2 linked regions of the Drosophila melanogaster genome follow. The protein of the gene in region 1 interacts with the protein of each later gene in a pairwise test. Each region holds a gene or a part of one and is shown in the gene's direction. Other genes may lie near its edges.

Region 1 (4,987 bases):
TTTACTCACTTGTCTCTGGCGAAAGTTCCGCCGCGGGAGATTGCGCCGCTGTTGTTGCTGCCACGCGTGTCTGGCCCATGGCTAATTGCTGCTCGCAAATGGTGCTCCGTAATGCTGGACGCGGATCGGGCGAGCTCCTGCCTCGGGGAATCTCAAAAAGCGACTAACTAAAGTCGCAAAGTTTTGCCGATCAACGGAATTCGATTGTCAATAGCTATTGACAGATATGTCGGTTTGGCGGTGGAATGGCTAGAAAGTCAGATACGGAGCTATTGTGCAGCTCCATTCGCGACTGGGTGGCAACTCCCGCACATTGTTTTCATTTGCGATTGCAAACAAAATTTAATATTACTTGTATTCGAAACAATTAAGCTGAGAAATCATCATGTAAGTCTGCGTTATTATCCTCCGGCTTTGCCATAGCTAACTCTCGATTCCAACAGGACGGAGTACTGGAAATCAAACGAGCGCAAGTTCTGCGACTTCTGCAAATGCTGGCTGAGCGACAACAAGGCGGTGAGTCCATAGAATAAACTCGCTTTTCGGCACTCTAATGACCCCTAATCCCGCAGAGCGTCGCCTTCCACGAGAGTGGCAAGCGGCACAAGATGAATGTGGCCAAGCGGATCACGGACATCAGTCGCAACAGCGAGAAATCGGAGCGGGAGCGCCAGAAAATGGACGCGGAGATCCGCAAGATGGAGGAGGCGGCCATGAAGTCGTACGCACAGGATGTCCATTCGCGCGGTGACATGACCGCCAGGTCCATTAACACGGTAATGAGGGCCACCGCCACTGCTGCCGCCTCAGGCGGAGCTCACTCCTTCGCCGGAAGATCACGCCAAGTGGACCCCATGCGCCTGGAAGGATTGTCCGACGAAGAAGAAGACCAGAGGCGGGTGGCTCCCGGCAAGGTAACAAGCGACGCAGCCGTGCCCGAGGCATCCCTCTGGGTGGAGGGCAAGTCGGACGAGGGACACACCTACTATTGGAACGTGAAGACCAATGAATCCGTGTGGAAGCCGCCGAAAGAGGGCTATCTGTCCTACGAGGAGTACGAGCGCATCAACCAGCTGGCCATCGACCAGCAGCAGATCTCCCAGGCCGAGGAATCGCTGAAATTCCGCGCCAATGTCGACGAGGAAGTGGCGAGGGTGAACCGAGAGAAGATGAAAGCCTTCCGCAGGACGGACAATCCCAAGGAAAAGAAGCAGAAGGAGGAGAGGCGTCAGACATTCAAAACGGAGGAAGAGGCGGCCACCAAAGAGATTGGACAGTGGCAAACTGTGGAAGTGAAGTAGGGCCTTCCTACTAGGTTCAAATGCATTTACTGATAAATTTATGGATTTTTGTAGAGCACCTGAGCAGCCCATCGACTGGCAGCTACCCAAAACGGATTACTACAGTGCTGCGCCCGTGGTTTCCGCCTCGAGTGAACCAGAACCTCCAGTCAAGAAGTTCAAGGAAAAGACGATTGGCGGTCTGGATGAGGAGATAGCCGCCACTGCGCCCGCCACGTTCAAGCGGAAATTCATCAGGAAGGGAAACAGCCGCCAGCGCGCCGAGGATTAAGAAGTACTCCATGTGCTTATGTGCATATTTCACCTACTAGTTAGGTTTAGGCATAGGAAATGTTTAGGTTTTTAAGTGTTTGCTTATACCAATTAAAAAGTGAGATGCGTTTAACTAATATTAGATTAAACATAGCTATTGTAGAATTATTATTATCTTTAGTCGACTTGCATTCAATAAATATTTCCCAACATTTTAAATAGTAATATGTTTTTTAAAAAGTTTTAAATTTCGATAACAGTTATCGAATTAGGTTCAATCGGTGTGTGTCTGTGCTTTAGTTGCGGCATATTTAGGTCTTAGAGCTCCGTCCAATTTTAGTGCATTTCCAGCGGCAACACGAGGTATGTTTCTCCCGTCCGCCAACGGTCACTCTGCTGCTGTTGTTGTAGGCGAGCGGTCGGAATTTGCGTCGGAATTGTGTTGAGTCGAGTCGCGCTATTTTGTTTCGAGTGCGCTGTGCTGTTTGGTTTCGTTCCGTTTCGTTTCGCTGTTCGTTTTCCACTCGTCTTCGAATCCGCACTGCAAACAAACAAGGAGAAGGGGAAGCAGCAAAAGTGGCGAGTGCATTCGCAGCGTCGAAATTTCAATTGAAATCTGAAATCTGTGTGGCAATTGCAGCGGCACTCGGTGTAAATAGATTGAATTGAAGCGAAATTCTGCGAGTCGAAGAAGTGAAAAGTAAACAATAACACGGGCAATCGGAAAAGTGGTTTTCGATAAATCGCACCGCACACACACACCTGTCAGTGTGAGTGTCAAAGTGAGTGTGTGAGTGTGCGTCGAAGGAGAGGAAAGGTCAAGCCAAAAATTGCGTAAAGAAAAGGAAAGGAAAGCTTAGAAGAGGGGAAGGGGAATTACGTCAGTTTCGCATTCCCGATAAAAATTTTTGATTCCCTAAACGATCCTGATAGCCAGCCATTACGATAGGCAAAAAACGATAACAGCGGAAATTTACGTCAATTTGGAGCAGAAAGTAAACGATACCAATTCCCGAAAGAATTCAAAAAATCAGGCAAGATTCAGTTCGTGTACGCTTACAACAGCTCCGCGCCCCACGCCGCCTCCTCCTACCGCACCGCCGTCGCCCCCTTTGCGCCCTACGCGGCCGAGCGGTCCACCCACCACCACCCACTCCCGCCCCCCGAGGAGCGGCTGCCCTCGGACACCGAGCAGCTAGCTGGATCCGACGAGGATCGGGCTCAGAGCCACGAAGCGGAAGCGGAGGAATCCGAGGAGGAGCGCGCAGGTAGCGGACCCTCCGTCAGGCCGCTCATCGCAGCAGCAGGAGCAACAACAACGACAACGTCGACGTCAGTAGTACCGGAAGCGGTACAAAGGGCGGCGGCCAAGGGAGCGACAGAGACGGCGACAATGGCGGTGGTGCGCAAGAAACAGGACGACAAGTACCTGCTCGCCCTGCGGGAACTAGTGGCCAGCGGGACGGGGAGCAATCGGCAGTGCTTCGACTGCGGCCAAAAAGGACCAACCTACGTGAACATGACCATCGGATCCTTTGTCTGCACCCGCTGCTCCGGAGTCCTGTAAGTATTTGCCTTCTTGTTGTTGTTTTCTAGTCTGGGATAATGTAGGGTAGATCCAGGAATTAGGCATAAGTCGCCTGCTAGGTGACCTTTGTTATGAGAATGTAACTGTAACTTGGCTATTCATATTTTAGTTATTTCTTTGGTTGTCTCTTTGAGTTTACCAGGTATTCAAGATACCTCTGGAAAATATTTCAAACAATTTCCGATGCACAGATTGATCTAGCTTGAGATTTGTAGAATAAGGATGGTGGGTTATGAACTGACAAATCTCTTAAAATCTTCCACAAGAAGAATCCAGATATACGACATTTATGGTTATGGCTTTCTTGAATGGCTTTTGGTTGAATTCACACATGTTTTTTATCAAAAAGCTGGCTACCTATATACATATTCTGATAACTGCCAAATGGGCTACCCCCACTGCGTTTAGGAGTCATATAAAATATTGCCTTGAGTGTTTCCAAAAATAGAAATGCAAATTGAGAGCTATCAACGTCGATCCGTGGACCTTTCTTGGTCTCCCGTGTTATCTTGACTTGAACCCAGCCAATTTGAACTCGCCTGACGTCCATTTGGGATCTGTGCCCGAGTGGAGTGACCGATAATTTGCGATCGATCGATGCAATGTCCGATCCCGCCCCCCATTATTATTTCGTATTGTGTGTGAAAGCGAAAGCAATTCCCCAACAATTTCGAACAATTTCGCACAATTTGGCTTCCTTTCCTTTTTGAATGCAAATGCAAATCGAAGACAAAACTTTCAATTGCGCGACATCGCGGCGAACGAAATTGTTTTGTCTTCGCCGGCGTCGCTTTCTATTCGTGTTTTTCCGTGGGGAGACGTTTTCGAGAGCCGCCCACCTGGCGGTTGAGTTGTGGGTGTCCTTGGCGCCCCTCAGTTTATTTTTTATTTTTGCCCCTCTAAGTAATTTGGCAAATTGGCTTTGATTTGTGAGCACTATGGCCAAATTGGGGTCATATATGTATTACCACTCCGCCGACACTGCATTTCATTTGATTTACGCATTTCCGGATCAAGCACATTACATGATTGCTCTTAAACTTCCGCTTGGCCCAGGTCCAGAAGCCCAGTCTCCCACGATTCGTGTGCCCCAGATTGTGGCCTCTCAATTGGACAGCATGCGGGTTTCTCCGCTGAGTTATCTCTATCATCGGAACCAGGTTGAAAAGTAGCCAACTGCAATGCGTTCGCCCTGCTGCACTCTGCAGTCCCCAACTCTTGTTTCGATGACTCATTGCCCATTCCTCAGTCTTCGGTGTGCGGTGCTCAATCCTCAATCCTTAGTCCTCAAACCTTGTTGCCAACTGCCAAGGGAAACAAATGTTGGCATGTAAATGAAAAGCCACATAAATGCCGGGGACACCAAGCGATTGCACTGCGAGAAAGGGTTAATGGTTAATTGTAACAAACAATTGGTCCTGTTAGTCGGATACTTCTGCGGTTTTTCAGTTACTAGTCTAACGACGTGCCACGTTTCTGCCGGTGTAGCCAAAAAGGGGTGTGGAAAGGTACTGCAGCAAATGGGGGACTCGGCCGAGGAAGGGGGCGTGGCAGGGGCGACAGCAGGCGACAACGAACTTCCTGGCTGAAAATGAGACTGGAACGTCGACTGCGACAAGGGAGCGAGTGCAGGGAATACCAAATGAAACCAACTCCTCCGACTCACGAAGAAATGGCTGTGCATGTTCGGCCCGCCTTTGGATATTGGAATCCGCTGCAGACCGGCCGGTCACTTGGAGCGCTTAATGGAGGAAGCGGTTCAGGAATGAGAATGGAACTGGCAATGGTAGTGGGTTTCAGAATGGGAATGTCCGCGGTGGCGCGGGGAGGAAAACCCGTCCGACGG
Region 2 (3,140 bases), on another chromosome or scaffold:
GCCGATCAATGTGAAACTAGGATATATATCGAGTATCCTTAAAAAAAAAACACCCTTGTGCTCAGTTTGAAGCTTTGATCTTGGTAACTAAACGAATTCATAGACATCTCAGACGAGCCAACTCACGAGTCAGAGCGAGAGGTCGATAGGCCTCATGCCAACTCAACAGTTTTGACCGTATGATAAAAATTCGACCACCAAAGATGAATGAAAATCACTGAATTACGATGTTAGTATACGGTGTGCATTGATTGGCAGTCCCATAAAGCATAATCCACGTAGCAGATGCGTCGGCAAAATGCCACGTATACGGATGGGAACACCCCCGCCCACCGAGCGATTGTTATTTATCGGCGAGGGTAAGAGACTCTACTTACGCGCCGAGAAGGTGCAGATGACGATGGGCAGGACCATCAGCATTAGGAACATCAGATGCCTCATCTTGTTGGCTGTTTTATAATGTCGTCGGGGCTCCAAATGCAATCGAATGCGCGGCGCACACACGGAAATTTGGCTGGGAAATCGGCTGAGGGAAAAACGCACGCACACACAACCTTCCCGATCGAGTGAAAATGAAGAAGTGACGGGCTTCGGTGGTATAGCGGCGAAAACAGAAGCCGACAATGCACGAAGTGGGCACGAAGCCGAGACACGACTTTCACTGACAAATGTCTACGTGGTGCCACGTCTAGGGTTGCAAGGGCCTCTCGATCCGTAGGTCAATTACTCAGTTTTTAGCTATTTAGCTTACTCAGGATAGGCATTCTGCCTAGTCATACATAAAACATTCATTTGATTATAGTTAAAAACATTTTCTCATATCTAAAATAATCAATAATATTAGATCTTGGCTTATTTTGTTGACATTTGAGTGCACCGACAACTCTAGCGAGACAAGTAGTGATGCCAAACGCCGCAACTGTCATTCCTCGTGTTTTTTCATGTTTATCATTTAAAAGCAATATTTTGGTCAACATAATATTTTATGCAATTATAAAATTCAAAATATATTTATTTTTTATACCAAATATCATTTTTTGACGGAGGTAAAAATGCTACAAATATTTTACAGCACTGTTCGGCCATCGTGCTGCCAACTTGGCTATTACACCGCTATTATCTGGCTATTTTTTCTGCTAGAAAATATTATGTTGACATTATTAATATAACATTGTCTGTATACCAGAAATATTATAAAACAAAATTGAATGGTCAAATTTAAATGTAGCAATACAAATTGGAAAAATTTTTAAAAAATCAATAATAGATATATGAACACAATTTTCTATTGTTATTGTGTGAACAATAAAAGTTCGCTTAAAGATTTAGGAAAAATGCAATTAAATATAAATACTAATTTTTGGAACACGAACCATTTAAAAAAACAAGGCATACGGAGGGTAAAAACTACTTTTTCGAGTAGTAAAATAATTTTTTTCGCTATTTTCTAGCCACTCAAGCGCAATCGATAGTGAGCGGGGCCGTTAATCGCAGCTATCGATTGGCCTGCGCAACGCAGCCAACTTCACGTCGCTGTGCCGATAACCGCTCAACTTCCTTTTTGCTTGCGGCTGTCAATTGAAGCGCATCTTGCACGTGAATTCTCTGCGAATTTAGCATTTTTAGCGATCTAACATGGACAAACCAGTTGTGTGGGCACGCGTCATGAAGGTTCTGGGCCGCACCGGCTCCCAGGGTCAGTGTACCCAGGTGAAGGTCGAGTTCCTGGGCGAGCAGAACCGCCAGATTATCCGAAACGTGAAGGGACCAGTTCGCGAGGGCGACATCCTGACCCTTTTGGAATCCGAACGTGAAGCCAGGAGGCTGCGCTAATTGGCGACCAAACTCGAGAAGGTAAGCGCACCTGGAATATTGGCCACAGTGAACACACGTCTTAACACACCTTCTATTTATTCCGCAGACCTTTTTACACACACATACACAAAACTGTTTTTCGCACGCGCCTTGTTTTTTTCGCGGAGAAGAAGAAGCGGATGGCAAGAAATCCGAACGAGGCTGCTGCATATTCGTTATAAACAAATGAAAATACACACCTAATTCGCCAGAAAATCAGCAAAAATGTGTTTTAAATAAATCTCGAGAGCATTGGACCGCCTTTGTACGAAAAGAAAACCAATCAAGCCTGTGTTTTGGTTTCATTACCTTTTTTGTTTCTGTGTTTTTTTTGAGTGCCCAGTGAAAATTGACAATGGAATGTGGTCTTCAAGCGACTTCCTTTAACAATATGTATTTGCATTTAGCAGAAACCCTTGCCTTCTCGGAAATCAACAAAGAAAATACAGACGAAATTCTCCAGTTGCTAAAAACACGTTTCGTTGATTTCCTTATAAACGCAAAGTTTTTCTGTTAAACACAATGATCAGAAGTTCTGGACACGTTAACATCTTAAAAAAAATGTTTTATTTTTTCGTCCACGAAAAGATATTTCAAAGAGAGGCCAGCCGAGTGATTATATAGCCCAATCACATTTCAGATTTGACAATCAATGTTAATGAATGCACAGTATTTTTTGTATAAAAAATAGTTTAAATATTTGAACTGCTGGAGCTGCACAGAAAATATACGTAACATTTTTATAATAAAAGTCAATAGCTCAGTTAGTTAATATATAAAACATTGTATAGCAAATTATGGTTTAAAACCACTGAGGTGCATATGTTTCTATATTCCTTAAGCCTAATTTTCCCTACAAAGTCAGCGGAAAACTGGACAGTCTCTCTATTTTGGCCAATCCAAGGGTAATGCGTGCTTCTGCAGGTTCCGGCAGTTGGAGATCGGATTTGAAGGACTCCAACGAGGATTCGGGTGCGGAAAACTTGGGTTGCAGCTGACTAAGATGAAGCTCTAGGTATTTAACCTGGTTCTGCAGCAGTTTCAGCGATTCCTCCAGGAAATTTCTGAATTCTGTCAATGCTGCAGGTGTTTTGGTTTGCTGCTGCTCATTACATAGGTGCAGGCACTCAATCTCGAAGTCAGTTACTTGGGCGGATATCTGCCCTAGCTCGGAAACCAGTTTCGATCTATGAATTGGATGGCAAGGCAAATCAGAAAAGTTTCTGGCTGGGATTAGGCCACTTACATGCTGTCCTGCAGGCTACGGTAAACATCGTGGCACACCG

Evidence for each region.
Region 2: the proteins of drongo (region 1) and RpS28b interact in a two-hybrid assay, tested with the Drosophila melanogaster proteins (one large-scale study listed by BioGRID).

Annotation. Positions count from the first base shown.
Region 1 is NT_033779.5:848,028-853,014, reverse strand, and holds the start of drongo (drongo), read left to right. Parts: upstream 1-1,943; 5' UTR 1,944-2,946; coding exon 2,947-3,116; intron 3,117-4,987. Other genes in the region: kraken, read right to left, coding at 10-79; CG4291 (uncharacterized protein), read left to right, coding at 386-387, 444-516, 573-1,297, 1,356-1,572.
Region 2 is NC_004354.4:9,553,075-9,556,214, forward strand, and holds RpS28b (ribosomal protein S28b), read left to right. Parts: upstream 1-1,548; 5' UTR 1,549-1,635; coding exon 1,636-1,833; 3' UTR 1,834-1,854; intron 1,855-1,921; 3' UTR 1,922-2,587; downstream 2,588-3,140. Other genes in the region: l(1)G0320 (lethal (1) G0320), read right to left, coding at 378-441; CG15317 (uncharacterized protein), read right to left, coding at 2,708-3,041, 3,101-3,140.